Canis lupus familiaris: one gene and its partners. The protein of the gene in region 6 interacts with the protein of the main gene of each other region in a pairwise test. Links are inferred from orthologs where the notes say so. Each region holds a gene or a part of one and is shown on either strand. Other genes may lie near its edges. The genes, in order: ZBTB22, CACNG1, mu-type opioid receptor, APOD, PGRMC2, VAPA and ADGRG7.

What was found.
Region 1: the proteins of VAPA (region 6) and ZBTB22 interact in binary tests that used the Homo sapiens proteins (3 or more experiments, as listed by UniProt). The two-hybrid records come from large-scale screens. The link is inferred for Canis lupus familiaris from reciprocal best matches to the Homo sapiens genes VAPA and ZBTB22.
Region 2: the proteins of VAPA (region 6) and CACNG1 interact in binary tests that used the Homo sapiens proteins (3 or more experiments, as listed by UniProt). The two-hybrid records come from large-scale screens. The link is inferred for Canis lupus familiaris from reciprocal best matches to the Homo sapiens genes VAPA and CACNG1.
Region 3: the proteins of VAPA (region 6) and mu-type opioid receptor interact in binary tests that used the Homo sapiens proteins (3 or more experiments, as listed by UniProt). The link is inferred for Canis lupus familiaris from reciprocal best matches to the Homo sapiens genes VAPA and OPRM1.
Region 4: the proteins of VAPA (region 6) and APOD interact in binary tests that used the Homo sapiens proteins (3 or more experiments, as listed by UniProt). The two-hybrid records come from large-scale screens. The link is inferred for Canis lupus familiaris from reciprocal best matches to the Homo sapiens genes VAPA and APOD.
Region 5: the proteins of VAPA (region 6) and PGRMC2 interact in binary tests that used the Homo sapiens proteins (3 or more experiments, as listed by UniProt). The link is inferred for Canis lupus familiaris from reciprocal best matches to the Homo sapiens genes VAPA and PGRMC2.
Region 7: the proteins of VAPA (region 6) and ADGRG7 interact in binary tests that used the Homo sapiens proteins (3 or more experiments, as listed by UniProt). The two-hybrid records come from large-scale screens. The link is inferred for Canis lupus familiaris from reciprocal best matches to the Homo sapiens genes VAPA and ADGRG7.

The regions. Positions count from the first base shown.
Region 1 is NC_049233.1:2,907,249-2,911,911, forward strand, and holds the start of ZBTB22 (zinc finger and BTB domain-containing protein 22), read right to left. Parts: upstream 3,233-4,663; 5' UTR 2,796-3,232; intron 2,119-2,795; 5' UTR 2,050-2,118; coding exon 127-2,049; 3' UTR 1-126. Other genes in the region: DAXX (death domain-associated protein 6), read right to left, coding at 3,757-3,816, 4,028-4,250, 4,412-4,663. UniProt on the Homo sapiens protein: May be involved in transcriptional regulation.
Region 2 is NC_049230.1:13,485,515-13,490,169, reverse strand, and holds the start of CACNG1 (voltage-dependent calcium channel gamma-1 subunit), read right to left. Parts: upstream 3,192-4,655; 5' UTR 3,026-3,191; coding exon 2,791-3,025; intron 1-2,790. UniProt on the Homo sapiens protein: Regulatory subunit of the voltage-gated calcium channel that gives rise to L-type calcium currents in skeletal muscle. Regulates channel inactivation kinetics.
Region 3 is NC_049222.1:44,382,548-44,387,236, reverse strand, and holds the start of mu-type opioid receptor, read right to left. Parts: upstream 3,087-4,689; 5' UTR 3,047-3,086; coding exon 2,754-3,046; intron 1-2,753. UniProt on the Homo sapiens protein: Receptor for endogenous opioids such as beta-endorphin and endomorphin. Receptor for natural and synthetic opioids including morphine, heroin, DAMGO, fentanyl, etorphine, buprenorphin and methadone.
Region 4 is NC_049254.1:31,201,466-31,205,519, reverse strand, and holds part of APOD (apolipoprotein D), read right to left. Parts: intron 2,244-4,054; exon of another isoform or gene 2,159-2,243; intron 2,080-2,158; coding exon 1,958-2,079; intron 1-1,957. UniProt on the Homo sapiens protein: APOD occurs in the macromolecular complex with lecithin-cholesterol acyltransferase. It is probably involved in the transport and binding of bilin. Appears to be able to transport a variety of ligands in a number of different contexts.
Region 5 is NC_049240.1:13,524,689-13,529,226, reverse strand, and holds the start of PGRMC2 (membrane-associated progesterone receptor component 2), read right to left. Parts: upstream 3,065-4,538; 5' UTR 3,035-3,064; coding exon 2,617-3,034; intron 1-2,616. UniProt on the Homo sapiens protein: Required for the maintenance of uterine histoarchitecture and normal female reproductive lifespan. May serve as a universal non-classical progesterone receptor in the uterus.
Region 6 is NC_049228.1:75,972,113-75,975,451, reverse strand, and holds part of VAPA (vesicle-associated membrane protein-associated protein A), read right to left. Parts: intron 592-3,339; coding exon 433-591; 3' UTR 1-432. UniProt on the Homo sapiens protein: Endoplasmic reticulum (ER)-anchored protein that mediates the formation of contact sites between the ER and endosomes via interaction with FFAT motif-containing proteins such as STARD3 or WDR44.
Region 7 is NC_049254.1:7,624,052-7,628,105, reverse strand, and holds part of ADGRG7 (adhesion G-protein coupled receptor G7), read right to left. Parts: intron 939-4,054; coding exon 678-938; 3' UTR 1-677. UniProt on the Homo sapiens protein: Orphan receptor.

The DNA of each region.
Region 1 (4,663 bases), on a different chromosome or scaffold from region 6:
AGAATATATACAAGTCTGTAGAGATAAGGAAGACATTAAGTGAGGCGGGAGATCACCTGAGGGCCACGGCGGCCTGGCTCAGCCTCCGTTTCCTCAAACCGGAAAGCTACCTCCAGAGCTGCCCCTTCAGTTTGTTCCTCCACCTCCACCAAAGCCCATCTCCACCTTGTGGACGCTGGGTGGGGACCAGACCCTGCGGCTGGACTGGGGCGTGGCCCCACTTGCCTCGTCACCGCTGCCCCCGCCCGCTCCAGGGGACTCTCTCTTGAGGGGCAAGGTTGGCCCGGTGGGCCCCCCGGGTCCTGGCCCGCCCCCGCCCCCGCCCCCAACCAGGCGGTGCCTTCGCTCACAGTGTCCCCGGTGGCGCATGAAGCTGTCTCGCCACATGAACTTCTTGGCGCAGACACCACACTCGTAGGGTTTGAGGCCTGTGTGTGTCTTCATGTGCTCCGTTAGGTGGTGCTTCATCTTAAACTTTTTGTTGCACACGGGGCAGTCAAAGGGCCGCAGGTTGAGGTGCATGTTCACGTGCCGATCACGCATGCTCTTGTGTGAGAACGCCTTCCCACAGTGGCACAAAAAGATCTTATTCCCATCCCCACTGCCTGTCCCTCCGGGGGTTCCCCCAGGACCACCAGGCATGCCCAGGGCCCCTGACGACGTGCCCCCCAGGGTCACCGCCCCGTGTTCAGCCTGGTTCCCTGGTGGCTGGCCTGGAGCCTGTGAGGAAGAGGAAGAGGAAGAGGAGGACGAAGATGATGGGAAAACCAGGATCTGGTTGCCCTGCATGTCCAGGGGAAGCAAGGGCCTTGGAGGGTGGGAGGGGGCATAGGAGGAAGGGGTTGGCCCCCCTGAATCATCAAGCCCTGCTCCAGGACCCCCACCGTCATAGGAGCCAAAGTCATTGGAAGACTCACAGAAATTGACCTGCTCCTCTCCCTTGTCCGGAGGCTCAGTCAGGGTGCGGACATCACTTATGCTTAGGGTGGCCTCCCGTCCTCCCGCCTCGGGAACCCTGGAGCCACCCCCCAGCTCTTCATCTTCATCATCCTCACAGGTCAACACCAGGTCTTCCTCCTCATCCTCTTCCAGATCTGGGTCTTGGGGAACCAGGGGTGCTGGTGCTGGGCTATTTCCACCCCGCTTCACATATACCCAGTGTTTCTGTGGCATGATGCTGGGGGGTGCGTAGGTGGGCCGCCGGAGCCCAGCCCCAGGAACCACAGGACCCCTCTCGTCCCCGCCGTCATGGCACAGCTCATCTGCCTCCAGCAGCAGCTTCCCAGAGGTAGCCCCCCCACTGCCAACCACAGGGGCTGGGAATACAGGGCCACCTCCTCGACGCTCCCCGCTGCCCACCGCAGAAGCTGGAAATGCCTCTTGGGAGGAAGATGAGAAATCAGTGGACTCTCGGGGGCTGAAGTAGTTGCTGCTGCTGGGGGACTGATTCTCACTGGCCCGGCTGGAGGCATGGGAGCGCACGGAGCCCACGGTGGCAGGGACCACAGTGGCCCCACTCCCCGATGGGACCCCAGCACCAGGAACAGTGGCAGAGGTGGCTGCAGCAGGGGTGATGGTGGTGGTAGTGGCTGAGGCCCGGCCTTCGCGGAGGAGTTCAGTGCACTTATCCACGATGTGCCACATTTGGAGCACCGACCCCACTGTGAGAAAGTTGACAATGTCAGCAGCAGCCATGCTGAGACGGCCAGTGTAAGCCGAAGCCAGGACAGTCTCGAAGGCGCCTGGGTCCATGACGCTGGGCAGCGAGATGGAGGTCATGCCCTTGAGTAAAACCTGGTCGTGGAAGTAAGGGGAGGAGGCAGCCAGGACAGCACGATGAGCCCTGAACTCTCGGCCCTGCACACGGATGGACACGTCGCAGAGCTGGCCCTGTAGCCGCTGCTGATTGAGGGACTCCAGAAGGGCACTGGTTACCTCAGGAAAGGACACGTGCACCACTGCAGCTGCAGGCAGGGGCAGTGGGGGCGGAGCCAGTGACAGAGGCAGGGGGAGTGCTGCCCCACTGGGAGAGAGAGGAGATGGCTCCATGGCGTGGAGGGAGGGGTTACCCCCCCAGCCACAGGAACAAGGGAAGGAAAAGGGCGGCCGGGGGGGTCTCTGGGAAGAAAAAGAAAGAAGAAGGATAACATTCCATAATGACACAGCCCTTCACTTTACAGTTTAAAAACATGTTCGTACCCTTTATCTGAGTAGTTCCCCACAACACCCTAAAGTAGGCATTCCTCTCAACCCTATTTGACAGATGAGCAAACCGAGGCTCAGATTACGAGATTATCCAAGATCACACAGCCAGTAACTGGCAGTGCCAGCAAACGCAGATGTCCTGATTCCAAATGCAGTGCTCCTTCCTTGGATATTAAGAGAAGTAAGGTACTCTTGGGGAGTGGGGCGCCTCTCCTCAGAACTCCCCATTTGCCTGAGCGCCTGACTTTCCCAAATCTACCTTACTGGTGTTTTGCACCCTTTTCTTGGGAGGGGGCAAGTCTGTTCCTGTACTAAGAACATCCCTCCCTCCGGATCTATGCCCCCCAGCTCTTTCGCGAGCCAAAGCCCCCCTTTGCCCCCCGGCTTACCTCTAGCCCCGCCCCTTCAAGACACGCCCCGTGGGCTTTCGGCCCCGCCTCTTCAAGACCCACCCCCGTGGCCCTCTCGGCCCCGCCCCTTGTCTACCCCCGCCCACGCTGGACCCCGCCCCCCTCTGCTCCGCCCCAAGCGCTACTTCGACCTCCTCTCCCACCCGGAAGGCGCCCCCAACCCCGCGCGTCCCCGCTTACCGGGCCGCGCGCCCCCGGGCCCCCCCGCCCCTCACTCGGCGGCCAGAGCCGCAGCCTGGGCCCCTCCCGCCGCCATCTTGCGCCGACTCCCTCCGCCCTCCGCCTCCGCTCCGCCTCCCGCCCCTCCGACTTTAAAGGTACAGGCGGGCACCCCTGCCCGTGCCACTAGGCAATACTCGGCCGACTCGTCCACTTCTCCTTTAAAGAACAGCCGCCTCATTCCACCTTAAAGGTACCAGGCCTCTTCTGCCGCTGAAGAACTCAGGACTTGGTGGTTCGGCCGAAGCACTCATTCCCCTTTAATTCTGTAAGCCTGCCCTTCCCATTGGCGAAGGGTCTCGGCCGTCGCTGCTTAGGCCCCGCCCCTGAGCTGTGGCCTTTAGTGGGCTTGCGGGATCTAATCGCCCTGCTGTCCCAGCTTCTGACAGTCCCCCCTGAAGTCCCGCCCCCTTCCTCCGGGCACGGATTGGCCAAAATAACCTTGAGTCGGCCCCTGATTGGCCTTTTTACTCCTACCGCTCGAAGTGAGAAAAGTAAAGCGAGTTTGGGAGGCTGCAGCAAGTTGATTTTTTTTTTTTTTTTAAGTGCCTGGCCGAGGGCTAGGGGAAGGTCTGAGGGCGAGGGAACTCCGGGAGGCGAGCTAAAGACAGGCTACAAAGGACAGCTCCAAGGGGTAGCCCAGGACCAAGGTTAACCCTGAGCCAGAGAACGACTGGTGCCGAGCGGTGAACGTAGAAGGACAAGGAAAAAGACAGGGATACAATAAGAAAAGAACTTTATTGTTTATTAATGTTTCTGTGTAAAACTTAAGTTTTTGTTGGTTTTTTGTTTTTGTTTTTTAAAGAAACACCACCAAAAAGGGGATTAGCTCAGTCAATCCCTTCCTCAGTCATCAGCTTCCCACCATCCTCCAAATACTATCCCAAAACACTTTGGAGGCTGGGAGTGGGAGGAGAGGCAGCTAATCAGAGTCTGAGAGCACGATGATCTCCTCTGGATCGCACTGTGTGGCCACACTCATCTGCAGGGGAGTGAGAGACAGAGTCAGAAAGCAGCGTCCGGAATATACGGAGAGGAGGAGCAGAGGAAAGGACTTATCCGAGATTAAAAATTGGGGTGAGAAAAAAAGGAAGAGAGAGGATGTGGTGTGTGCAATATTCAGATGAAAATCCTGAAACTGAACAGACAATGAAAGAGAATTAAGTCAGGGAAAAACTGCCTCCCCCTCTTACCTTGTAGGTACCAGGTCTGGAGGGCTGTGAATGAGGGGTTTGGGACAACCGGGCTTGAGATGCGCTACAGAGGGAGCTGGTCACCAGGCCATGGCTAGGAGAATCCACCCTCGTTGAGGAATCCGCAACTGGGGCCATGGAAGTCAAGGGAGAAGGTGGGCTGGGCAGAGTAGGTATCTTCCTTCCATTCTTTTCATGCACTGACCTTTGCCTTTCCACATAGCTAGGGACAGAAATGCAAATATGTAGGGAGGTATGGAGAGCCTGAGGCTAGAGGGGGAGTGTCCAGTTTCTCCCAGCAGACCCAGTTCCTCAATATTCCTCTCAGAAAGCCCCCTGTAATGTCTCCTTGGCCTCCCTATTCTTCCTCCTTGTTGTTGTTACCTGTTTCCTAATGGCTCTGCTCCAGTTTCCTTCTCCTTCCGAGACTTCTTGCAGGGGGGACAGGAATCTCCCCAGGTGTGAGGAGACACCCCTCCATTGAAGGAAGTGGAGGTGACCATGGCTGCTCCATTCTCCAAGACAGTGGTGAGAGGTTCCTCTGACTGCTTCCTGGAAGAGGAAATGTCCCTCTCCTCAGGGGAAGGGGTAGTATCCAGGGGCAAGGCTTCGATCTCTAGCTCAAAGAGCTGAGAT
Region 2 (4,655 bases), on a different chromosome or scaffold from region 6:
AGGGCCTTCTTGGGCTTTCCTGTGCACCATACAGCGCTGTGCATGCACATGGCCTTCCAAATTCTCAGGAATATGTTGGAGCTTTTCTTTTCTTTTTCAAAGATTTTATTTATTTATTCATGAGAGACACCCAGTGAGAGGCAGAGACACAGAGAGAGGGTGAAGCAGGCTCCCCCTAGGGAGCCCAATGAGGGACTTGATCCCAGGATCCTGGGATCACACCCTGAGCCGAAGGCAGATGCTCAACCACTGAACCACCCAGGCATCCTTGTTGGAGCTCTTCCAAGCCACCTATGGACATCTAACTCTCTAGCTGTTTTGGTAGCCTATTGTTTGCCCTAACTGTTGTCTACTGCCTCAGGAAATTATGCTATTAAACATTTGCTTCTAATTGTTTTTGCCAAATGCCCCCTGAGAAAAAGACTGTTTCCACTGAGTGAGCTCAGCATCAGGTCAAATAAAGACAACCTTACAAGTGGGGACTTCCAGGGAACCACCAGGCAGATCAAATAATGACAGTTCTCTGGGAATGAGGCTTTGAATGAGATCCAGCCCCATCTGTCCCCTTTGGGGGCTAAATTTACACTGTTTGCAGGCTATTGGTTTTCAAGGCTCTAATAGACTTGGGGAGTGGGGAACAGAAATAGAGCAAGTTAAAGCACCACAAAACTCACCATTCTGACTCAGATTCACCTGTTTTTCTTGAATAAGCACTCACTGGATTGCTGCAAGATTCGTTAGTGTCCAGGGTTCTGAAAAGGTTTGTTCTGACCGTGTTTTGCTAGAGTTCTCATTGTCTTTATGGAGAAGACATTTAGGGGGATTCTTACCCTGCCATTTCTTCTGATGTCATTCAAAGTTAAAAGATGGGAGGCACTGAAAACAATATTTGGCAGATTTGTGTTTGCGGTCCCTATTACTGCTATTAATAATAAGCGAGAGAACATGTATGCACTCTCTTCCTCCCTCTAGAAAAAAGTAACCCCACAGAGCACAGGAAAGGTGGGTGGGGAAGGTGTCCATCTGCAGAGAAAGGAGAGGGGAGATTGCTGGCACATACTTCAGAAGCTTGTCAAGGGTAGGGCTGGGCTCACAAGCGTGGGAGGTATGATTCACTCTGGAGCGGGGCAAGAAGGCGTAGAGATAGACTCTGGTCAGGGTCAGGACCAAACCATGCCTGTCGGGCCTGTGCAGCTAACCTCTTGCTAGTTTGTCCCTTCCTTGTATGGACTTGCCTCGCCTCCTTGCTCATCTGCTCTATAAACTCAGCAGACTTTAAAAGGTGGGTGCCTCTGAGGACAGGTGGACGGGACCATGGCAGGGCACTCCCATGCGTGGTCCGTGGAGAATCTGCCTCCCCCTGCCCTGCCCCACCCATGGGAATTGGCTGGATGATGCATCTGTTTACGGCTGTGCTGGGCCGGGGCTGAAGGAGCGCGGACATGTGAGCTACGTGATACCCTTCAAGCACATGTCCACGTCTGTTAAAGCCCTCGGCCCGGGGACGCAGTGTTTCTAAGACAGCTGGGTATTTACGAGTCTTCTGTGTGTCCAGGGGGAATGAGCGAGGCAGGGGTTTTCTAGAGCCAGCAGGAGGGAAAAGAGGAGGAAAAGGAGAAGTAGAGGAATGGGGTTTGGGCTCCTTTGTCCCATGCACAGACTGCAAGATCTCTGGGGACTTAGCCCTGACTTCCTTGAAAGTTCAAGGAACTGGGTTCAAGGAACACCCAGTCTGATAACAGAGGGAATAATTCTGCAAGGCAGGTGGGTCCCTGTACTCGCCTTGGCCCACTGTCACCTTACGGTGCCATTTGTAAAGGCTGAAAGGGGCTTTGCAGAGCCCGAACACTGTATTTTACAGGGGGAAGCAGAGGCCGCAATGGGCATGGTGGACCCCAGAGTCATTGGAGTGTCGTGGGCAATGCACGCAGAGCCCAGTCCTCTGGTTCTCCACGCAGGGCTCTTTCCCCAGCGTGTGCTCTGTTCGCTATGAGTGTGGAGGGCTCCGCATTTGTAGCATAGACTGGTCACCCTAATACCACCCTGATCCTTCACGAGGAGCTCACCTCGGATGTGCGGTTCGGTCACAGGGTAGGAAAATTGGGGAACGCACTGAAATCAGAGCAGGAGGACACGCATCCCAGCTCCGAGGGGTCTGAGCTAAGAGAGGATGTGCAGGTGTGACAGTTCTGACAAAAGGCGGGAGGCTCGTCTACGACCGGGCCCTGCTTTACAGATGTGTGGCTTCTGCGGTCAACCAAGGCCCTGCACACAGAAGGGACCCACACTCGGCTCCGTGCGTCACTGTTACCATCTCGAAATCCTTAAAAATATTCACAAAGAGCCCTGCGTTTTCATTTTGCGCTATGCTGTGCAAATCTGGTGGCTGACCCTGGGGAGTGACCGTGCCAGCCGCACATGTCCCTGCAGCCTGAGGACTTAGGGCCACTGAACCTGTCTGTGCAGGGAGAAAGGAAAGCGGGGTCACCCAGAAGGGTGGCCACTGCGGGGGCCAGGGCCTCAGGCCTGTTAGGCCCAGGTGGGTAGCCCCCTGCTCAGGGTGAAGGCCGGGAGCCTCTGCGGGACAGAAAGAGGGACAGGCGCCCTGGCTTTACAAGCGGCCCTGGCCAGTAGGACAGAGGCCGTTCGGATCCTCTTCCCTGGGCACCGAGGCTGGGCACGATCTCTGCTCTGAGGCAGGGAAACCTGCCCTCTTTCCCAGCGGCACCTTTTCCAGGGGCAGGAAGCAGGGCAGGAGGCAGGGATGGGGTCAGAGGGTGGGTACGTTACCCCCAGGCAGGGTGATGGGTCCGCACGTCTTGTCCTTGCTGTCAGTCATGACAATGCGCTTGGTGCAAATCCGCCAGAGGCCGAAGTGGGCCGCCTCGCAGGTGGCATTGTGGTGCTTCACCTCGGGGCTCAGCACGGCCCAGTGGTCGGTCACCACGGCCACCAAGGCCAGCACGATGCCCACCAGGATGCAGAAGAGGGTCGCGCGGACCTTCGGCGCTTTGGTCTGGGACATGGTGGTGGCGGAGGAGTGGGTGCCCTGGGCACAGTCTGGTGGCAGTGTGTCCCGCGCAGGTGGCAGCCAGGCTGGGGAGGTGGCGGTGATTATCGAGCTGGGGGTGGAAGCTAAGTTTAGTGCGTCCGGCTGAGCCAGAGTGGGCTGGCCTCGGGGCTGAGGGACACCAGACGGGGCTGAGCAGCTGCCCAGACGTGTCAGGGGCCTGAGGGAGGCTTCTATTAATGCACATCCCAGGCGTGTCACCGAGGATAGCTTCTCCTCGGGTTTCAGGACTTTCTTTCCCTCCTGAGACCTAAAATACCTCAAGGAGGGGCAGGGAGAGAAGGCTCTAGATGGTGACTTGGGATCTCCACGATTAGCAGCTCAGGATACCTGAGTTGGAGGCAGTGAGGGATAGGCCACAGGGATACTAGATGTGTGGGAATGTGCTTGCTCTGGGCTGCAGGAGGAGGCGATACAGCTGGGTGACGGCAGGGGACCCTGCGGGACACAGGTACCACAGCCCAGCTCCCACACTGGGCAGGCCGGTCACCAGTGCAAAGGGGTGTGAGTGGGTCCTTGTCCTGGGGGTCTGGGGAATGCAGGAGCCTGCGTGGGGACATCTTGGGGCTCCTCCACCAGAACCACCAGGGGCCCACCTCCCTGGCTTTAGCCTCAAGTCCTAGCACAACCCTAAACTGCGGGAAGATTCCTGGTGGTTCCTGGGCCTGGCATTACCCAGCACTGTGCCTGGCGTGGGAATGCTTTTTCCTTTTCAATTCTCCTCCCACCCCTTCAACTGGGTCCAGAAGGAAAGGAAGTCTTTAGCTAACCTTTCTGATGCTTGCGAATCAAAGACTAGCTTGGAGAGGACAAGGAATCTAGCTGGACCTGACTGTCGTTCTGTTTTTATTTTACTGTTTGAGTTTTACTTCTATTAACGTTTCGCCAGTTCTGTTTTCATTTACAAAATAAATATATTTAAGTTAAAAACAACAGAAGTGGGTTGGTCGGCAGGGAACTGTGAAGAGGCTGATGGTGTGTGGACACAGCAGAGGACAGAGGACAGTTTGGGATGGCCCCCAGAGAGTCCTGCGAGCCCGTATGTCCCCCACCCCAGGCTCGAGCCCCTGGATCCCTCCTGGGTTCTGCATCTCTCTCTCTCTTTCTTTTTAAGATTTTATTTATTCATGAGAGACACAAAGAGAGAAGCAGAGACATAGGCAGAGGGAGAAGCAGGCTCCACGCAGGGAGCCTGATGTAGGACTCGATCCCAGGACCCTGAGATCATGACCTGAGACGAAGGAAGATGCTTAACAGACTGAGCCACCCAGGCGCCCCTCTGCATCTCTTCTTTATCAATTGACCAGTTGCCTCTTCTAGGGTCTATCCAAGAGGCTAGTGTGTGGCCAAGAATAGACCCCTGAGCTGGGCAGGGTTTTGACTTCAAAATCCCAGCCTCAGGCTGACACAGCTCACAGAAATACTCTGCCTGTGGGCGGAGAAGCACTCAGGCGTCCAGCCTTGGAGTCACAGACTGTTAATAATAACGATAATCATAGGAACCGCGCATCTTGTGTATCTATTGTATATCACGTGTTGTGGTAAACCTTTCCACATCATTGCCCCCCCGCCCCTTTTTTAAGAT
Region 3 (4,689 bases), on a different chromosome or scaffold from region 6:
AGGTATGATGATGATGGGGTTGAGACACAGAGCAGAAAAGTATTAATCATGGCATCTGTATTACCAGTTACCTTTGTTGTTTTGGTTGCTATAGTCATCTGAGATTCATAATTTACTTGAGGTATTAAAGCATTCTAATAAATATCACCTTAATCTGGATAGAAAACTGTAACTTGACCATAAACTGCACTTGACCATTCAAAAATATTTGTTGAATTTTAAATAATAGCAGAAAGTGAGCATTTCACCTCAATAATTTAATAGATGTAGCATTATACTTATCTTTTAAACAGAGGCAATAGTATCTCTGAACTATCATTTTGTAGTGAAAACATCACAGCTTGGAGTCCAGTTAAATATTCTAAGCTAAATAAACATATATTCTCAATCTCCAAATGCTTTCTTCGTCACTTTATTGTTCACTAAACTGTTCATTTTTCTGTGTCACTGTCATATTACCATAAGGTTACATAAGTATGGAATTATACACCAAATGTGCCATAGGTATATGTTTGGGTGACCTTTCAAATCATACTGCATTTTGTTAGAACTTTCAGTACAGAGAAGTAAAAGCATAATATCATGTTCCCACTAAGATGCAATGTCACTATCCTCCAAGTCATTAAGAGGTCAGAGGTAATGCCTTTAAAATAAACTCACCCAACCAGCAATCTCTTAAACACTGAAATAAGACCAATCTTTTTATTTCACAGCCAGTTGCTGCTTTATTGACTCTCTTTATAGAAAAGCATAAAACTAGGAGGGAGAAAAAACAAGGAAGGAAAATACCAAAAGAAGCAATAAAAAGGAATACAGGATTATGTTTCAGACAGCAGGATTTCTACACACTTTGGTAATTTCTCTTCATCATTTATTTTCCAGGATTTCAGACATAAATTTAGGGTACTTTATTATTTCCACATTATTACTTCTAATTAAATCTACTCTGTTATTATTTTAGTTGGACTAACTCAAATCATGATTTGCCACTCTAATAAAAAGAAAATTATACTGGCTAAGATAGATATTATATTGAACTAATACAGTTATTGAACTAATGACTATCCATCCTTGAAGAAATCATTAATATTTTCTGTGCCTCAGTTTACTCATCTGGTATAGGTAAACTCTAGGGTCCTTTCTAGCCCTATCAGCTTATGATTCTATGAATTTTCTTAGGACAAATGAGAAATATATTTTCTTCTCATAAGGTCACCCTTTAATTATGATTTTTATTGTCATAACTGTAAATATGTGAGACATGGTTTTTATCTTTGATATGAGTCTTTGTATTTCATTATACACGGTAAATGTTTTCAAAAATAAATTCTCCATTGATTTCCTTCCTACATTTTCCTTTCTGTTGTTAGCCTTCTTCTCAATAGATGGTGCTCTTTTCTCAGAGACACTACTTATCTTATTCCTCATCAAAAGATTAGAGAAATTAGTTTTATTCTTTAACAATTATTAATTAAGGAAATCAGACATATGAGAAATAATCGATTACAAGCAGCTTGCAGCACCGTGGTCAGGAAAGCATAAGGGGAAAAATGATTGTTAAATGATTAAGGAACTCCATTACAACCTGCAGTACTTGCTGAATAGATGAAGTGAATATTGTAACTAAATATGAAAATACTATGTTCACTACATACATATAATCTGTAGTAGGAAGAAGACCCCAAATTAGAAACCATTTTAAAGTGTTAAAATATTTTTCTACTTTAACAAAAATGAATATATAGTATTCCATATTAGAAGTAGGATTTGAATATGCACACCAACACTAACACAATCTACATTAATCTCAATTAATATTGAAAGCTTGCACATTCTTTGCCAAATAAACCTGGAGTATCTAGGTAGAAAGAAAATGAGCCACAAACTCTTTTCAAAAAATTTCACTGATTAAGACACTTTTTTCCCTTCAGAGAAACCACTGTAAGTTCCTAAAGATAGTTATAATCCAGAATTATGATGTTTAAGGTCACTTCTAGTTGGTTCCCACTTTCAGAGGATTTGGAAAACAGTCATGCCCTACAGATCTCCTGAACCACACTAATCTATTCTCAATTCAGTTTGTGACTCCCCTAGCAGATCTGCAGCTGCCAACTGCCAAATGGTCTAGGCAACACAACAGTCATATTTGTTCCTGCAAAGCAACACTGTTTACCACAGAAAACTTTCTCAATGAGTGTGGCCTCAGGATGGAAGGAACAGTGGGGCAAGGACAAGTGTGACAAGGGAATGGAGGGGGGTGCTGTGGTGCAGCAAAGTACCTGGAAGCCAGCAGGGATAGGGAAGTTGCATGTTCAAGTTCAACTTCAGACATGAAAAGGAGATTTCCCTTCATCAGGAAAACTAACTAGAATTTCTCTTCCATCATTCACAAATTATTGTTTCCACAGCTCCTGTGGAAGGGACTGTAGGATTCTGAGTCCAAGAACCCTCTTGGCTCAGTGAAAGTGAGCTCTAAGACAGAACATCCCCCCACCCCCCGCAGAGCTTTACATCTTCCACTAAAGCAACTTATCTGTTTCTGAAATTTTTGGTTCTTTAACAATGGAGGGAAAAATAGAAAAGTAGATTTTTGCACTCACAACAACCACTCTACCTACCGTCGCCCCCATATTCTCCCCTGTTTACCTCCCTTCTCTTATCCTCCCGCCAAACGCTGCCTGGGGGATCAGGTGTCCCTTTACGCCCCTATTAGCTGCTGAAGTCTCTGGTGGGAGCCCTGGCGCCTTCCTTACCTGACGATCACATACATGACCAGGAAGTTTCCGAAGAGACCCACCACGCACACGATGGAGTATAGGGCCATGATGGTGATGGCCGTGATCATGGAAGGGCTGCCGGTCGGAGGGCACGAGCTGTCGCTCCCGCCCAGCTCGGTGCGGTTCGGACCGCATGGGTCGGACAGGTTGCCATCTAGGTGGGAGAAGTTGACCCAGGAACCCGGGCTAGGTGCTGGGGAGCAACTTGAAGCGTGCGTATAGGGATCAGTGCAATTGCTGGCGTTGGTGGGGACGGAGCTGCTGTCCATGGTGCTGACGGCTGTCTGGGACTTCGCTACGAGGTGAACGCGAGCACCTAGACTTTTTCAGGTTCCACGCGTCTCGGCCGCCTCCTCTCGCCGCTGCCACAGTTCCTGCTATTTCTTACAGAGACCAGCCCTGGTGCAGCCAGAGAGGAGCGTCAGGTAGAAGGGGAGAGCTGGGCATCTGACATAATCTTCTGCTTGCAGCCCCCTTCCGCCTTAGTAGTAGAGATGCATCCTCAACCCCACACCGCTGTGGGGAGGGGAGGGAGGGCTGTGCGGGATCCGGAGGCTGAAGGGGAGGGAGGAGAGAGAAGGGGTGGATTTTGCGCAAAGCGATCCAACGAGTTGGTCTGTCTCCCAAAAGGCACTCGTCGGTGCAAGCATACCTAAGGAGCGGCAGAATGGGGAAGGGATGGGGGAGACAGAGAGTGAGTTCTTGGCAGCAGGAAAACATAAGAAAGGGGGCTGACGTCAGTCTGTTTTCCCAGCTCCGTTTTCTCTGTATAATACGAAAGGAAAGACATTGGCCTGGTACAACCCGGACAATCCTTACACCCCAGCGCGCCTCCAGCCCTCCAGTCTGCTGAAATCATTCGGGACAGGGTTCACAAACTCCTTTTCCTTAGTCCTCCTTAGCTCAGTCCTTCATGTCCACACAAAACTAACCGTGTTTTTTTACATCAGTAAATGAAAATTTTCAGACCTACAAAGCTTTTTAAAACAAACGTGGTCTTTTCTCTGAAAAAGAAGTGAGAAGCAAACTTTTGTCTAGGAAATCTATTCCTTTTACTCCATATGTCCCCAATTTCTCTTAAAGTAGAAGCTCTAGTTACACTGATTTCTACCCTGGTGGGGACAAGGCACAAGAACATGTTATAGAAATCAGAGGGTGGTGGCATCTGGGAAAGCAACGAAAGATATTGGTGATCCCCCACATCTTAGATCTCATAGATTCGTTTAGAATTATTTATTATCTCTTTTATTGCCAGAATTGCTACATGAACATGTGCTTCTCAGTGGGAGGTTGTCAAAATCAAACATTTGCATTATATCAGTCTGTTTTCCAGTGTAGAGATTCCAGGAGGAATTTCATAGACATCTGGAACTGGAGTGGCTGACAAAAGGTTGAGGAATATTGATACATTTTAAATTTGATACCTAACTTCCAAGACCCTAAATATTTCTATTTTAGAAATACATGTGTAAATCAACCAGGGGTAAGATATTTTTGTTATTATTTATTTGTTTGCTTTTTGGTAAATTAATACTAATCCTGAAGTAATTCCCATAACTGTATGTGTGTATTTGTGTTATGTATATATATTTTAAAGATTTTATTTATTTATTCACGAGAGAGACACACACACACAGAGGCAGAGACAGAGGCAGAGGGAGAAGCAGGCTTCATGCAGGGAGCCTGATGTGGGACTCTATCCCAGGTCTCCAGGATCACACCCCTGGCTGAAGGTGGTGCTAAACCGCTGAGCCACCAGGGCTGCCCGGTATATATTTTTTAGCAATAAAGATTGATATTAGATATACCCAGCTGGTTGTAGAAAGCAACACTCTTGGGGAACAGGGAGAGGAGTGGCTTAGGGAGCTTGAAAAAATGTTTAATTCCAATATTATCATTTTCTTGAAAACAG
Region 4 (4,054 bases), on a different chromosome or scaffold from region 6:
AGGGGGAGGTGCTGCTGCAGGCCAGGCCCGAGGGGGACACGCGCTGGGCCACCCACGAGCCCGCGGCAGCTGTCCCCACGGACGCCCTCCCTCTCCGGCTCTGTTTCGCCCGGAACAGTTCCAAGGCGCCGTCTCTGATCATAATAAACTCAGCATCGGTTCATGGAGAAAACGTGTCTGTGTGTTCAGGCGGAGCGGGTGACAGACGGGTCGGGTCGCGCTTCCTCAGGGTTACCCGCACCAACGCCGCGTGTCGCCCGGCCCAGGCTCCCCAAGGCCACGAAGGAGGGTCCCCGGTGGTCGCCGGCTTACGGGGGGACACAGGCCTCGTCGCCCTGACTCCCTGACCAGGGATGGGCCCAGCGTCAGGAAGCGGCCGATCCGGGCCGTGTCTGACCCTCGTCGCAGACCAGGACAACTCCTGGGGCGCAGCCTCGATGCGCCTGCACCCGGGCCCGGTCGCCGTGCCCGGGCTCTGAGATGAGCCGGTTTTCTCTCTCTCTAGGCCGCTAAGATGTGACTTCGCTTCCCGGATTCCTGCAGGGCCAGGGGCCACCCCCGGTCGGGCACAGGAAGCCTGGTGGGGACCAGGACGGCCGCAAAGCCTCCCGGAGCCGCAGGGCCTTCCAGGCTGCGCCGTGGCGGTTTCCTTGGAGCCGACACAGTTCCCAGATCCCGCAGGGGACAGGAGGGACGGCCCTGGTCCCAGCCCTCTCTCCCGGCGGCTGTTGTCTTCCACGTTCCCCTGCTCTCTGGGCTTGAACGTCGGCCTCGTTGCTTATAAGCGGTGCGGCCATCGGGCGAGTTCCCTTCCCTCCCTGTACCTCTGTTTCTTCATCTAGAAAAGTGGCCTTACTAAGAGTACCTGCCTCAGGGCCCGGAGGCGCATGCTCGTTTACATACACATCCACCCAGGTGCACGCGTGCACATACACGTACACTCACAGAATAGCGCCTTGCACGCAGGAAATGCTTAATATTTGCCACTATTGTTTACTGTTGCTCTTATCTTTTTTTTTTTAAGATTTTATTTATTTATTCATGAGAGACCCAGAGAGAGAGAGAGAGAGAGAGAGAGAGGCAGAGACCCAGGCAGAGGGAGAAGCAGGCTCCCTGCAGGGAGCCCTACTCGGGACTCGATCCCGGGACCCTGGGGTCACGCCCTGGGCTGAAGGCAGCTGCTTAACCACGGAGGCCCCAGGCATCCCTGCTCTTATCTTTGTTGATGGAAGGTAGGTAGGAGGTCTTCCTGGGGCATTTTTAAAGTTTATGTTTGCTTTCTAAAGTATGAATTTTTCTATCGAAATAGAACTCGGTTAGAAGCTCTCGGAAACAGAAAAGCATACTTCTAAAGGCTATCCTGTTCACGAACCCTAGAGTGTGGCTATGAATGTATTTGATTCTTGCTTAATGAGAACAGGCGTCTTCTAGTCGTCACGGCTGAATGAATTGCCATGAGCAACCAGTTCCTGGGAGGGTTCAAGCCGAGCTGGATGCCCTCTGTCAGTCGATGAGGTAGAAAGAGCTTCTCTCTTGGTTTGGAGATCAGATCAGATCAAAGTCTCACTTGCCCTTTGCTACCAGCGTGTCTGTTTTGCAAGGAGAGCAGGAACCCTGCAGTTTGGATTCCCGTTGAGTCCCCAGTACCTTTTACAGGGGCACACACACAACAGGCCCAGAATAAGTGTAAGTGCTCGCCGGGAACACACAATACAGTAAGTACACAATACAGTAAGATGCCCAGCAAGAGGTCTTGCAAATAAGCGAGTGGCCTCTAGTCCCCACCATCCTGCCTGCCAAAAGCCTTCATCTCAGGACCTGCTGCGAGTAGTCAGTGCAGACGCAGCCACGTCTGCCTCCCCGCTGAGCTAGGCCGCAAGGACACCCAGTCACCCGGGGACAGCTCTCTGCAGGCTGGCTCTGGGACCGTGTTGCTTTTGAAACCGCAGCCACTCACCTCAACTCCTGGTTTATCACTTTGATGTTTCCGTTTTCCATTAGCGAATAGTTGGCTTGGATGCAACTTCCCTTCTCAAAGCTCACTGGGATCTTCTCAATTTCGTACCATCGTCCAAGATACTGCAGAGATAACAATAAGCAGAGAAAACCCTGTGGCTCTCTGGGGACCTGCTAACTCTTCCCTATTGTCGTCTTTTAGAGCAGAGCCCTTTCCTGGGGAAACCACGCAAAATGGGCTGCACTGTTCCCGACAGCAACTGAGCAAGATATTGATTCAAATGAGAGTAAGTGAGTCAGATTTGCAGGCATTGGTCGAATGCCACATTTTATTCCTAAAGTGACCTTTATTTAGATATGATGTCAGTGGGCCCTCCAGCCAGAATCTATGTGAAATTTTAGGCTCTGTAAAGGAGAGGGAGCGGTCCAGATGATGTAAGGTTCCATCTCAAATATTTTGTGATTCTACGAGGCATCTTTGAATTGTGTGCAAAGCCAGATATGGTCACTCTGGGGAACTGGGACTCCAGAGTTGGTTGATTCTCCTCATAAGACCCCGGACAGGGAGTTGGTCACAAAGGCTTTTAGCAAGTGATCAGGATTCAGAAGATTGATATTCTTTCACTGGGGACTTGGTCTCCGTTCATAGCTTCGTGTACAGAGTCAACATTAAAGGAAGTGTGCAATGGTGTGGGTGACGGTAAGGAGAGACAAGTACTTTCATGCTTCCATGCACTGCCTTGCATGGAGACTGCTCCAATTTACAACCTGCATGGGGGGCAATCTGACAATATCTAGCAAAGAAAATACATCTAGTGCATTTATGAGGTTATTTGATGCAGTGCTATTTGTAAGAACAAAAGACAGGAAATTAGAGTCTAAGTGAGCATTCGTAGGGGACTGGGTACATAAATGTGTATGGCACAACCAAACAACCGAATGTTATATAGCCTCCTTTAAAGGAGTCATGCAACTATATCCAAGATGCATTCAATGGAAAAAAAGAGCTGGGTAAAAAATAAGAGTATATGGAAAATGGGGGGAAAGGTTATTATGTTCATTTTCTATTGCTGCTATAACAAATTCCACAAGCTTACAACACAAATTTATGGTCTCATGGGTGTGTACATCAAGTGAGCTTGATTAAAATCAAGGTGTTGGCAGGACTGTGTTCCTTTCTAGGGGGTTTAGGGGACTCTGTCTTCTTGCCCTGTCCACATTTTATTTTATTTTATTTTATTTTATTAATTTTTATTTATTTATGATAGTCACAGAGAGAGAGAGAGGCAGAGACACAGGCAGAGGGAGAAGCAGGCTCCATGCACCGGGAGCCCGACGTGGGATTCGATCCCGGGTCTCCAGGATCGCGCTCTGGGCCAAAGGCAGGCGCCAAACCGCTGCGCCACCCAGGGATCCCCCTGTCCACATTTTAGAGGCCACCCACATTCTTTGGCTGGTTGAACCCCTTCCTCCATCTTCAGAGCCAGCAAAAGTGGGTGAAATCCTTCTCACATTGTATCTCTCTTTCTCTTGTTCCATCATCACACCTCTCTGACCACAGCTGGGGAAAGTTCTCTGCTTTCAATAATTAGACTGAGCCCACTGGGTAATCCACGCTCTCTGGCCATCTCCAAGTCTATAACTTTATTCACATCAGCAAAATCCTCCTTTTCGTGGAAAGTAGCATATTCGCAGGTTCCAGGGATCAGGGTGTGGACATCATTCTGCCTACTGCACTTATGTATGTATTTGTGTACGTATACACTATCTCCCAAATGATACACAATAAACTGTTTTTAACTGGTTGCTCCTAGGGAGGGAACCAGGGGTAGGTTCAATGACAAAGAACTTGTCATTGAATGTTCTTTGGCACCTTTAGAATTTGGACCCATGTGAATATATTTACTTAGTCAATATATTAATTGGAAGCATTTTAGAAACTTAAAAATCTATTACTTGGGGATCCCTGGGTGGCTCAGCGGTTCGGTGCCTGCCTTTGGCCCAGGGCACGATCCTGGAGTCCCGGGATCGAGTCCCACATCGGGCTCCCGGCATGGAGCCTGTTTCTCCCTCTGCCTGTGTCTCTGCCTCTCTCTCT
Region 5 (4,538 bases), on a different chromosome or scaffold from region 6:
CACTTTCCTCACATGCTGGCCAAGTGCCTGAACTGTTACTAAATTTAATGCTGACAAATGTAGTTAATGCCAACTGTTTGCCAACATGTGTTTACTCCACTAAATTGTCAATATTTAATTTTTTAAGACCTGAACTTTAGAAATGACTAAAAAAACAGTATCTTCGACACAGAAAAAAACCCACAAAATAATTATTAATTCTAAAACCAACACTGTGAAATGTAGATATTGGCTAGGCATAGAATAAGGTTTTCTGCTTCTCAGCTCATTCTTTCAAGCTACTGAGATTGTCAGGCTAAGATCATTGCTTCTGAATTATTCTATTACGAAGTGCTCAGTTGACCTGAGGATGAAAATAAAAATGAAAACCCAAACTGAACTTATATCTATTTCATAGCCAGAAATTGGCTTCAAGACTTTTGGAAAAACTGTTACATCTTCTATTAATGTGAAATATCAACATATTCCAAGCCCATAGATGATCTGGCTCCTTTCAAGGCTCCTTTCAATAATATAACATTCCAAACATCTCTACTAGGTTGATCAATAAATACTTAGAAAATAGTAATTACCCTTTGGCTGTTCATCAGGACATGGGAATTAATGGAAGCCAACCTGAAACTGACTTCTCCCTTATTATCTGAGGAGCTTGCTCAATGCTTAAGCCACACAAAGGCTATCCACATCACATCTATGACTCTTAATTTTTAATTTCTATTGTATAACATTCGCCACTGGAGGCTGCTAAACTGTGAGTAGGACAGCCTTTCCTAGCTATTTGCAGATAGTGGCAAGGCATAATGCGCAAGGACTAATATGCTTCTTTGCACTAATACTTTGTTTGTTTCACTGTCAGTGTAGATAGGGGCTGCAAAAGCAAATCTTTTAGTTGGGCAAGCTCAATATTGAAAATCTAAACCTATACACAGTTTCCAATTACTGCATATACATTTTATTATCAATGAGAAAGAAACTTCAGGTACCAAATACTGTTCAAATCCTTGATTTAGAAAAATTAGCTATTTAAATAGGTATGTCCATTTAATTACTGTAGTTTGGCCCTATTCTCTTGTCCCATATACTTTCAAGTAAACAAAAAGTATTAACCCTTTCGGCTGAATTAAGTATGTAGACATCTGCTTTTCAATTTTAAACAACCAGAAGCATTATCTAAGACTTGGTTAAAGTGAATGCGGATCTATACACAAAAATACAAGCAACTAAAAATTAAATAGTCCAACACATAAAAATCTACAATTTATCTCTATTCCATTTAACAGCAAACCAAAGCACTTCCAAAATATATTCCAGCCACCAAGCGCTGAAATCAGAAGTTCGTATTTCTAAGTGCCAGTGAATCTCATGGACTAACAGATTACATCAAGAAGAAACCAATTTCTTTTTGGGACTTGTCAACCCCCTCGAATTTGAGGCTTGGATGTATTCTTTAGAATAACAGGTCACTCTAGGTCCCTAATTTTATTATGTATTTTTTTATTGTAGTCACTTTAAGTTTAGGATTAATTACTACATAACCAGGATGTACAATGTTGCTCAATTTTATCGTATACCAACAGGTTCCATGAGTCTGAACTGAAGTTTATTAGCATAATCTGAAATGTATGCTGTAACTACATTGCAAAGGAAGGGTTTCTAACCCAACTACCCTGCACACACGGTTCTCGGAAAGCAAAGTTCTAAAAATCTCTAACTTGCAAAACTGGTGCACTGGGGTATGGATTTATGTAGCTCTTTTAAGTTTTTGCTGCTCAGTGAAAACACAAGTCATTATCAACGTGGATTTGAATACTTGCCTTCCTACTATCAAAAAAAAAAAAAAAAAAAAGTAAAAAGAAACCAGGCAGGCCCGCCTGCTGGGTATTTGAGCTCCACCTCCAAAACTCAGGGAGACTATCCTTGCCAGTCTTTATTAAGATCTACATTCTGGTCTGTCCTCATCCTACATACAGTGTTAATCTTGGAAAGCATCTCCATACTAAAACTGGTTTGAAAAAAAAAGTCTGAGGTGTTGCTTATATGCTCAGACTTCACAAGCTAAACGGTGGGGGCTTGGAAGTACGTGTACCTAAACGTGGCCTTATGGGGAATAGTAGAGAAAAGGGAGATCAGTGACAAAACAGAGTAAAGAAAGGAAAGCTGTGAATTACCTGGCCTACAAACTTTGGGTCCCTACATTAGGCATCTCCCGTCCCTCCTGCCCCCACCCATCCCAGGAATCAGAAAGCTCAAGAAAGGTAGTGGGCTAGCGTGACGGGCGACAACTGGGAAGATTCTGAAAAAAAAAAAAAAAAAATCAGCAGAAGAAAAAGCTTCGTGGAGGAACGGGATGGGAGAAAGAGGAGAGCTGAGAGCCGGTTCCTGGGGCGACACTGAAACCTGCACTTGGGCCGGGGGGGTGACCTGCAGGCGCCCGGAGCTGGGGGTGTGTGTGGGGCGGGCCGTCCCAGGTGCAGGAGCCAAGCCGCAGGGGTCCAGACGTCGGGAAGGCTGGGCAAACTAACCCGGAGCCCAGGGGCCTCCCCGTCTCGCGGGGGGTGGGGGGGTCGCACAGGAGCTGCAGGAGGTCCTCCCCCTCCCCTTCCAACTCCTCCTCACCCGGGCCGTAGAACTTGCTGCCTTTGGTCACGTCGAAGACTTTCCCATTGACCGCGAGCAGGATGCGCGGGGTGCGGGAGCCGTCGTACTGTCGCAGCTGCTCCAAGCTGAAGTCCCGCTTCTTCATGCGAGGCAGCGAGGCAGCGGGGCTCTCCTCGCCCGCGCCGGCCCCGGTGCCCAGACCCCGCCGCCCCCAGCGCACCCACAGCCGGTAGGCCCCCAGCAGCACCAGCGCCACCAGCGCCACGTTCAGCAGCATCTCCCCGCCCCCCGTCAGAAGCGCCAACGCTGCTGCCGCCCAGCCGCCCCCTTCTGCTGCCGCTCCCACGCCGCTGGGGCTCTCGCTGCTGCCGTCGCTGCTGCTCTCGCTGCCACTCCCCAGGGTGCCTAGCTTCACGTCCCCATCACCCGCCGCCATCACTGCCCGCCAGCGCCTTCCTCCTCCTCCCCGCCCCCTGCCCTCCCCAACCCCACGGCCGACCCCGCCCCTCTGGGGGCCTCCCAGCCAATGACAGGAGGGGAGGGGGCGGGGCCAAGCCTGCTCTCCATTGGGTGTTGAAGGGGTAACGTTGTCTCGGATCGCTCCCTCCCCCCTCCCTTCTTCAGCAGGCCGCGCTCGCGTGCGACGCCCCGCCCACCTCGCCCCACACTTCCCTGCTTTCGCTCAGCGCCTCGGCTTGCAGAAGTACAAGACGGGGAGGGGCGGGCCTGAAGAAAAGATGCAGCGCCGGCCGCGCGCGCGCGCGCATAGGCGGGGGGACACTACAGCGCGTGCGCGGGTTCCGGAGCGCCACGCGCTCTCCTTTCCCCTGCGCCTCCTCCGGGGGGCCGGCCCCGCCCGGTTGGTTCCCTCCGCTCTACGCGCGTGCGCCCCGGAATCGCTTCCCTTCCCAGGCTTGGGTTCGCGTCCGCGCACTCCCGCCTCAGCGCGGCGGCTCGGCACGGGGACTTCACGTGCGCCGGGGCGGCCGCGGAGGCGGAGTCTCAGTCTCGTGGGGTCGCCTTTTCGGGGGCGCAGGTTGGCGGCTTGTGGGAGGCCGCGACCCAGTTTTCATTACTGGCGCAAACTGTTGAGGGGCGTCTCTTTTTTGTCCCCCCCCGGGCGCCGTCGCGCCTGTCTGGAAGCCAGGAGCGTGGGCGCGCAGACAGAGCTGCCGCCCGGAGGTGTTGGCGACGGGCTGGAGCCCTCCTGGCGCAGGAGGAGCGCACGGAGCCCGCGCCGGGGCCGCTGGGCGCCCGGAGCCCGCTTGCTGTCTGCGCCGGCACCGAGCCGCCACCGACGGTGGTCTTGGCCGAGGCCGCTCCCGCAGAATTCGCTTTCAGGTTTTACGCTGAAGGTGCTGTTCCTGAATGAATAGTCTGTGGCGGTAGGGAAGTGGATAGAATGAGGCGGTCCTTCTGTTCCCTCATTCAGCTTTAACTCACGATTTCTTTTTATCTCCTTAGGTCCTTCGTAGTCTTTTAGGCTCCCAAGTCCTTAAAAACAAAACAAAACAAAACACAAAAAACCTGGCGTAAATGTCTCACCTCTGAAGCCTTGTTCTGGGCCCCTTACCTCAGGCGCTCATCTCACTGGACTTGGGCTTTCCTGCCCTGGTCTGTTTTGGTGTTGGTGAGTTCCCACACAACCACCCCAAGAACGGCCAGTTGTGGACTACCGGTGTGCCGAAAGAATGAAGGTGTGTTAAGGGAGTAACACTTTGGGTCTAATCTTTTTTTTTTTTTTTTAAGATTTTATTTATTCTTGAGAGACCCAGAGAGAAGCAGACACACAGGCAGAGGGAGAAGCAGGCTCCATGCAGGGAGCCGGAGGTGGGACTCAATGCCGGGACTCCAGGATCACGCCCTGAGCAGAAGGCAGATGCTCAACCCTGAGCCACCCAGGTTCCCAGATGATGGCTGTTTTATTTTTATTTTTTTTA
Region 6 (3,339 bases):
TCTTGGCATTTCCTGAATGAGTGGGATTATTAGCAATCTAAATAAATCATATTTCAAGAGGTAACAGCAACAGATAAAATTTAAAGGGATTATTAAAATAACATTTACAAGACTCTGAACAATTCTTGAACTCTTATTAAAACCACAAAGAAAGAACAATTCTTTATTTATGAATTTCATAAAGGACTGAATGTGCAACTGACATCTGCTAGTGATGATCTGGTAATATACAATTTGTCCAGGAGCCGAACAGTTTGTTTTATTGTGTTTTCTAACCGTAAGAGATCATTAAAGGCAAAGCCTATATGACGCTGTACACAAAAAAAAAAAAAAAAAAAAAGTCACCGTGGGCCATACTACCAATGAAATGGTAGGTAAACAAATCTTTTTCTGGTCAAGAGAAAAAAAAAATAGCACTCTGCATGCTTTACTCTACAAGATGAACTTCCCTAGAAAGAACCCGATGAAAATGGCTGCAATTACGACAAGAAGGGAAGGAAGAGGACTGGCGACATTATCTCTGAAGGATGCAGCTGAGGTTGATCCAGGTTTATCCGAATGTGCTACCTTTCTGAGCCTTAAGCCTTCATCCTGAAAAAAATATATGCACAAAGAGGTTTTAAAAACAAATACGCATACAGTAAAACTGCCAAGCTACAGATCTATAGCCAGAAAGCAGATTAGTGTGCATGTGGCTGAGATGGGATCAAGGATTAACTGCTAACCAGCATTAAGACAACCTTCTAGGGTGATGGAAACATCCTAACACTGGAGTCTTGTAATGGTGGCATAACTCTGTAAATTTGCTAAAAATAACTGAATCGTACACTCACAGTGGGCATCTTAATGGAATATAAATGATTCCTCAATAATGTCGATTTTAAAAACTAGAGCTGAAAATTTACTCCTAAAAAATTGAAAAGCAGGTATAACTATATTTATACAACAGGAAAAAAAACTCCACTAAAATATGTTAATAAAAGTGCATGCACTTTTTCCATGGTGGCCCGCAGTATTTTTATACTGGTTACCAAAGACCACCACGAACAAAGCTGTGGTCTAACAGGTTTGACACACTGCAGCCAGGGCACCCACACAGCAGAGGCACTGGGAGTAGCTGGCCAAAGGAAAAGACAGGCATTTTATAGGATTTGCAGGAAGGGGGAATTTCAGGATAAAATTTAAATAGCAAGTGTTTCGTTAAGCTCAAAGCAGAAGGTATATGTGTAGAAGGGTCAGCACTGAGTCTTGATCGCAAAGGAAACACCAAAATCCTGCTTCCTCGGAAACGACAAACTACAGCAGCTATGGAATGTTATATACAGAACTCACCTACCCCCCTACCCCCCCCTACTGGAGGCATGCCCCTAGACTGGAAAGGATGGCTGGGCTTCTGTGTGTCAAAGTGACTCAGATCCTCTAGATAAGAAGGGCTGCTTGGTTCTTACTGGTATGATTCCACACAGCAAAGTTTTGGACAGTATGATTTTAGGGAACAAGGTTTCTCAGTAAGAAAGCAGTAATCACTCAAAATAGGAAGTTGTTAAGACACTTTACCAGCCACTGTGTGACCCTGGGAAAAATACGGATACCTGTTACCTAGGCAACTGGCTTTATCTGTGTCCATCATCCCAACCAGATGAATGACAGGGCAGACTGCTACTTCCTTACTTAGTGCAAGCTCATTTTTATTTTCTCACTTTGATTCCTCTAACATGCTCCGTAACACCAAATGAAAAAGTCCACCTCAGGTCATACTGTTTTATTTGCAATTACTACATTCTCTGAGGGTTTGTAGGGTTTTTTAGTCTTTGTTCATTAGTCCTACATGAAGAGAACACAGATTCTCAATCCCTTCAAGAACTTTAAAAAACCGGGATCCCTGGGTGGCTCAGCGGTTTAACGCCTGCCTTTGACCCAGGGCGTGATCCTGGAGTCCCAGGATCGAGTCCCACATCAGGCTCCCTGCATGGAGCCTGCTTCTCCCTCTGCCTGTGTCTCTGCCTCTCTCTCTCTCTGTCTGTGTCTCTCATGAATAAATAAAATAAAAAATTTAAAAAAAAAAAAAAAAGAACTTTAAAAAACCCTCCTAGTGATTCTGATTTACTAGGTCTGGGGAGGACCTGGTATTTTTTAAAAGCTCACTAGGAGACTGAGATGCACAGCCTGGCTTAAGAACCACAGGACTAGAGGAATAAAAAGAACATATTATGATGGGCCTTATGTATGAAATGTTATTAAAGGGCCTGAAACGGATTCTATAAGCCAGTGATCTTCAAGGTTCTTTTATCTTTTAAACAGCAGAACACTTTTGCAAATAACATCTCCTACAAACAGCCAATGAAGGGGAGAGACCAGCATCCAAATCTCACCTTCCTCCCTGTGCACTCTTCCCACCCCTGCCCTACTTATGTCATTCCTACCATTTCCACTTCTACTCTCCTCTTTGCCAAGAGACAAACTGGCTTTTTGAACAAAAAAAGTACGGAGCATGCTAAGGAGCACACCTTTCATCAAAGAATAGAACTATGCCATGGAAGTCATGACAGATAAAGTAAGAGTAACAACAACATCCTTAAAAATCTATGATGTGTGGATAGGTGTGAAATGAAACTAGTTTTTCCACTATCCTAAGAGGCGCTGGGGGCCCCTGAGGAGTACTGTGAAACAGAAAGAGACAATTATTTCAGCACAGATCAATCCAAGATACTGTGCCTCTGATTCACAGTATATACAGTTCCTATATACATTAACAGATGAAAGAATCAAATGTAAATTAAGTCACTTAATTTAGCTTATTTACTTATGTACATTTTTATATCATCTACTTTGATACAAAAAGTTCCAAAACCTAAAATGGCAATTTAAAGGTATTCACATCTTGAAATAAGGTACTTGTCAAAGGCAAATTATTAATACACTCTGCATATATTCAAATTAGTTCTCATTCACCCGTTCATCCATTTATTCATTCGAATATATGAATGACTACTATATGCATGTGCTATGAATGCAAAGATGAATGAACACAGGTCCTTGCTCCCAAAGAGCTAGCGCCCACTGGAGGGAGAAAAACCTTTAACAAACAGGTACAGTGAGATGACGAAGGTTTCATGGAAACAAAGGAGATAGCATTCCAAAACCATACTTCTTTGCTTCTGGGAGGAGAGATTCCTAGAAAAAGTTATACTGAAAAGATGACAAGAACCAAGTACCAAAAGAGAACCATGCATGCGTGAATGTGCTTTTAAGGGTAGGAATGTGATTTCAGGGTGATCCAATCAGAAGAAGGAATTCAAGCTAAAGTAAAAAAGAGATCACTGACAGAGAGGCATCTTC
Region 7 (4,054 bases), on a different chromosome or scaffold from region 6:
CTTCCCATTTTTTGAGTCTCAAAGTCGCTTCATCAATAAAAGGACAGATGTATCAAGATCCAGAAAGAAATACACAGAGGCTCTAGTAACCAGCTCATCTTTTTTGTGTCTCACTGTCCATTTCTTAGAGTGCTAAATCCTCTGGTCACAAAACATGCTCTTTTTTGAACAGAAAAAAAGTATCCCTTTCCAGAGGTTAAACTGGCACAAAATCCTTAAGTAGAAATAAAAATATAAGCAAATACAAATTAAAATATTCACAGATCAAAAGTATTATATATATATAAGCAACTCACTGCAGGGTTCATTAGGAGTCATTTTGTTCCAGAAGGTAAATATTTTCTCCCCATGCCCTCTTTGGTAAATTGTAAAAGAATTTCTTTTACCAAAGTTTGTCACATTTATGATATAAGTAACAATGATAATCTTGAATTATCCTGAATGCTGGGTGGAATTCTTTACCTCATTCAGGTAAGAATCTACTGAATGACAGAAAAAAATACCGAATCCATTATCCCTGATGATAATAAACAAGTTTTACCTGAGTCTTAGCCTTGAACAAAATATATTGAAGGAGACTCTCTGGGAGGACCAAGTATTAAAGGAAAGAAACAGAATAAGCAACACTTAACATGAATTGTATAAAAAGAGGATCACAAAGGCAGTAGTTTCACTGTCTAGATGCTTGGGTTTGCTTGGTCACTTTCAGAGAGTGTCGTTTCCTCCATGATGACAGATGGCTCCAGCAGCCTAAAGCGTTCACTTAAGGTTGGAAGTGACCTGAGCATGTTATACATCCTTACACGCAGCCTCATTGTGGTCACTGATGGCTTCAGCTTCACTCTCCCAGTGGATAGCGACAGTGACTTCAACACTTCGGAAGCTTTGTTCTGGAAGATTTTTGTTCTGACAGTGTACAGGATAAAAATTTGCAATCCCTGGCAGATAGAATAAAAGTTTTATGCTAGATCAGTGTTAAGATACAGAATCAGGGAAGAGATTTGTTTTGCTTTGCCACCCGCCCATCTCATCATGGACAACAACTCCCCAACCTGAGTTTACGTCTGCAGCTGCTGTGCACTTTGTCATCTCAGAGGGTTCAGGTGACGTTCCTCTCACATATAAAGTGCTACATGGAAACAGTAGATTTAGAAGACCCGAATTTAGGTCCCAGTTCACCACATGTTGGCTGTATGATTGAGAGGCTCTTTCTCTTCCTGATACCAACTGGGTGATACCAATTGATTTGTGACGCTAACAAACAAGAGTTAGTTTCAGATTCCACAGGTTAACAGTCCTGTGATTGCCTTCACTTCAGGTGCTAGTGAAGTTTGGGGACAAACATTGGGTCCCCACATTACCCATACTTCTGTCTGACTTGACTACAAAGTCAAGGGTTTCAAACCCACCTCCCTGCTTCAGGTTTGATCATTTAATAGACCTACTAACAGAATTTAGGAAGTATCTTTACTTACCATTACCTGTTTATTACAAAGGACACAACTCAGGAAGAGCCAAATGGAGGAGATCATAGAACAAGATATAGGGGAAGGGGCATGGAACTTCCATGCCTTATCCAGGTGTACCACCCTCCCAGCTCTTTAATATGTTCACCAACCTGGAAGTTCTCCAAACCCCTTCATGTAGGGGGTTTTATGGAGGTTCCATTATACAGGATTCGCAACTCTAGGACCCAATAGCATTAGCCATTTGTGATTGACACAGTCTCGTGCCCCTTTCCCCTTCCTGGAGGTAAGGCTGAAAGTTCCAAACTTCTAAACCAGGTCTAGTCTTTCTGGCAACAAGCCTCCAGCCTGAAGCTATCTAGGGACCCCAGCCTCCAGTCATTCATTAACATACAAAAGATACTCATCACTTCCAAGACAATCAATTCCAAAGACTTTAGGAACTGTGTACTGAGGACAAAGACCAAATATTTATGTTTTAGTAGACTGCAGTTACTTCACTTCAATTCCTGAAGGAGACAGATTGCCTATGGGTCACTTAATTCTCCTTCCAGTTCTAACATTCTATGATTGTACATTTCTTGGCATTTTAGTAACACAACAAGTTACTACACAACAAGTAAAAGTCTGCAGTGTTTAAGAACAAAACCAATTTTAAGCACTACTATTCATTGCTTTTCTGTCCTTTATGTACAAAAATCAGATGTGCATGAGAAATTAATCTACAAAAGACTGAATACTATTTTCTGTACACTTTTTAATTATTTTTATGGGAGTTCAATTTGCCAACATATAGCATAACACCCAGTGCTCATCCCACCAAGTGCCCCCCTCAGTGCCCATCACCCAGTCACCCCAACCCCCTGCCCACCTCCCCTTCCGATACCCCTTGTTCATTTCCCAGAGTTAGGTGTCCCTCATGTTTTGTCACCCTCACTGATATTTTCACTCATTTTCTCTCCTTTCCCTTTATTCCATTTCACTAATTTTTATATTCCCCAAATGAATGAGACCATATAATGTTTGTCCTTTTCCGATTGACTTATTTCACTCAGCATAATACCCTCCAGGTCCATCCACGTGGAAGCAAATGGTGGCTATTTGTCGTTTCTAATGGCTGAGTAATATTCCATTGTATACATATACACTTTTAAAATGAAAACCACCACATAATGAAGTCCTATTGGTATCAGACAGTGCTTTTCATGTAATCCTCATCATTTAATGTTTCTCATTTAATCCTAACACCAACCCTATAAAATAAGCCTTAGCAGCCCATGTAACAGGTGGGAAAACTATAGCTCAGATAATTTAAGTAACCCGCCTAAGATTACTCAACTGGTAATAAGTGGAGTCTGGAGTTGAACTCAACTCCATTTGATTCCAAAGCTCTTCTAGCCAATATACTACTCTGTCTCTTGCTTGTAACTGCAATAGAAGGATATTATGAAGTATATGACAGCATCTAAGAGTCCCCCTGTAAATTTCTCATTTATCTCCTTTGTGGAAATAACATCACTAGTTGAGTAATAGTATTGTGCCAATGTTCACTTCTTGATTTTGATGATGGACTATGGTTATAATATATTAGCATTGGAGAAAACTGGGAAAAGAGTACCTGGGAACTCTACTATTTTTGCAACTTCATGTTTTAAACTCTTTAGAAATAAAGTTACTTAAAAAAAATTTCTCCAGATTAGAATCTCTAGGGCCCAAGCCTTATAAGGATCTATTTCTAGAAGCATATCTTAGGAATACTGTTGTAGGAGACTTCTGATGCTCTGGTAAGATAACCCAAAGACCCTGAGAATTTAACTAATAAAACTCTCCTTTGGCCAGTTCTCTGACCAAAAACAGGAAGATTAACTTGATCATTATCCAAGAGGCAGTATTTACCCATCTGATGATGACACAAGGAAGGATGCATAGGGACTTAGGTCTTGGAAGGGCAGAAGTGGTTACTGGCCATCCTGATTGTTCAAGAGAGATTTATTTTGAAGATATAAGAAATCTGGTCCTCTTTGTGGGGAGTACACTATTCTATACTTAAAAGACTGGATAAATTTCTAGTTGTACAGAATTAGGAAAACACCTAGACCATGGAGAACTCATGAAGACAACATCCTGTGAAGCTGTGTGAGTGGAATCCCAATATTTCTATACTCCTTAAAATCCCAGAGATGTTATTGAAAAAGATAAAATGTATGGATCAAACAATTCTCACTACCATAAAGATCAAATTGTGCTTTTAAAACAATATCTATAGCACCTAGTAAATGTCTATCAGAATTACAGCATTCTAAATCTAGAAGGATGGGACACCTGCGTGGCTCAGTGGTTGAGTGTCTGCCTTTGACTCAGGGCATAATCCCAGGGTCCTGGGATCGAGTCCCACATTGGGCTCCCTGCAGGGAGTTTGCTCCTCCCTCTGCCTCTCTCTGTATCTCTCTCTGTGTCTCTCATGAATAAATAAATAAGATCTTTGTAAAAATCAATCTATCACTCAATCTAGAAGGAGCCTTACATATAGGCACTTTAGTGTACATAAAAATAAAATCCCTATTTAAAGTGAAGATTTCTAGCTCTTA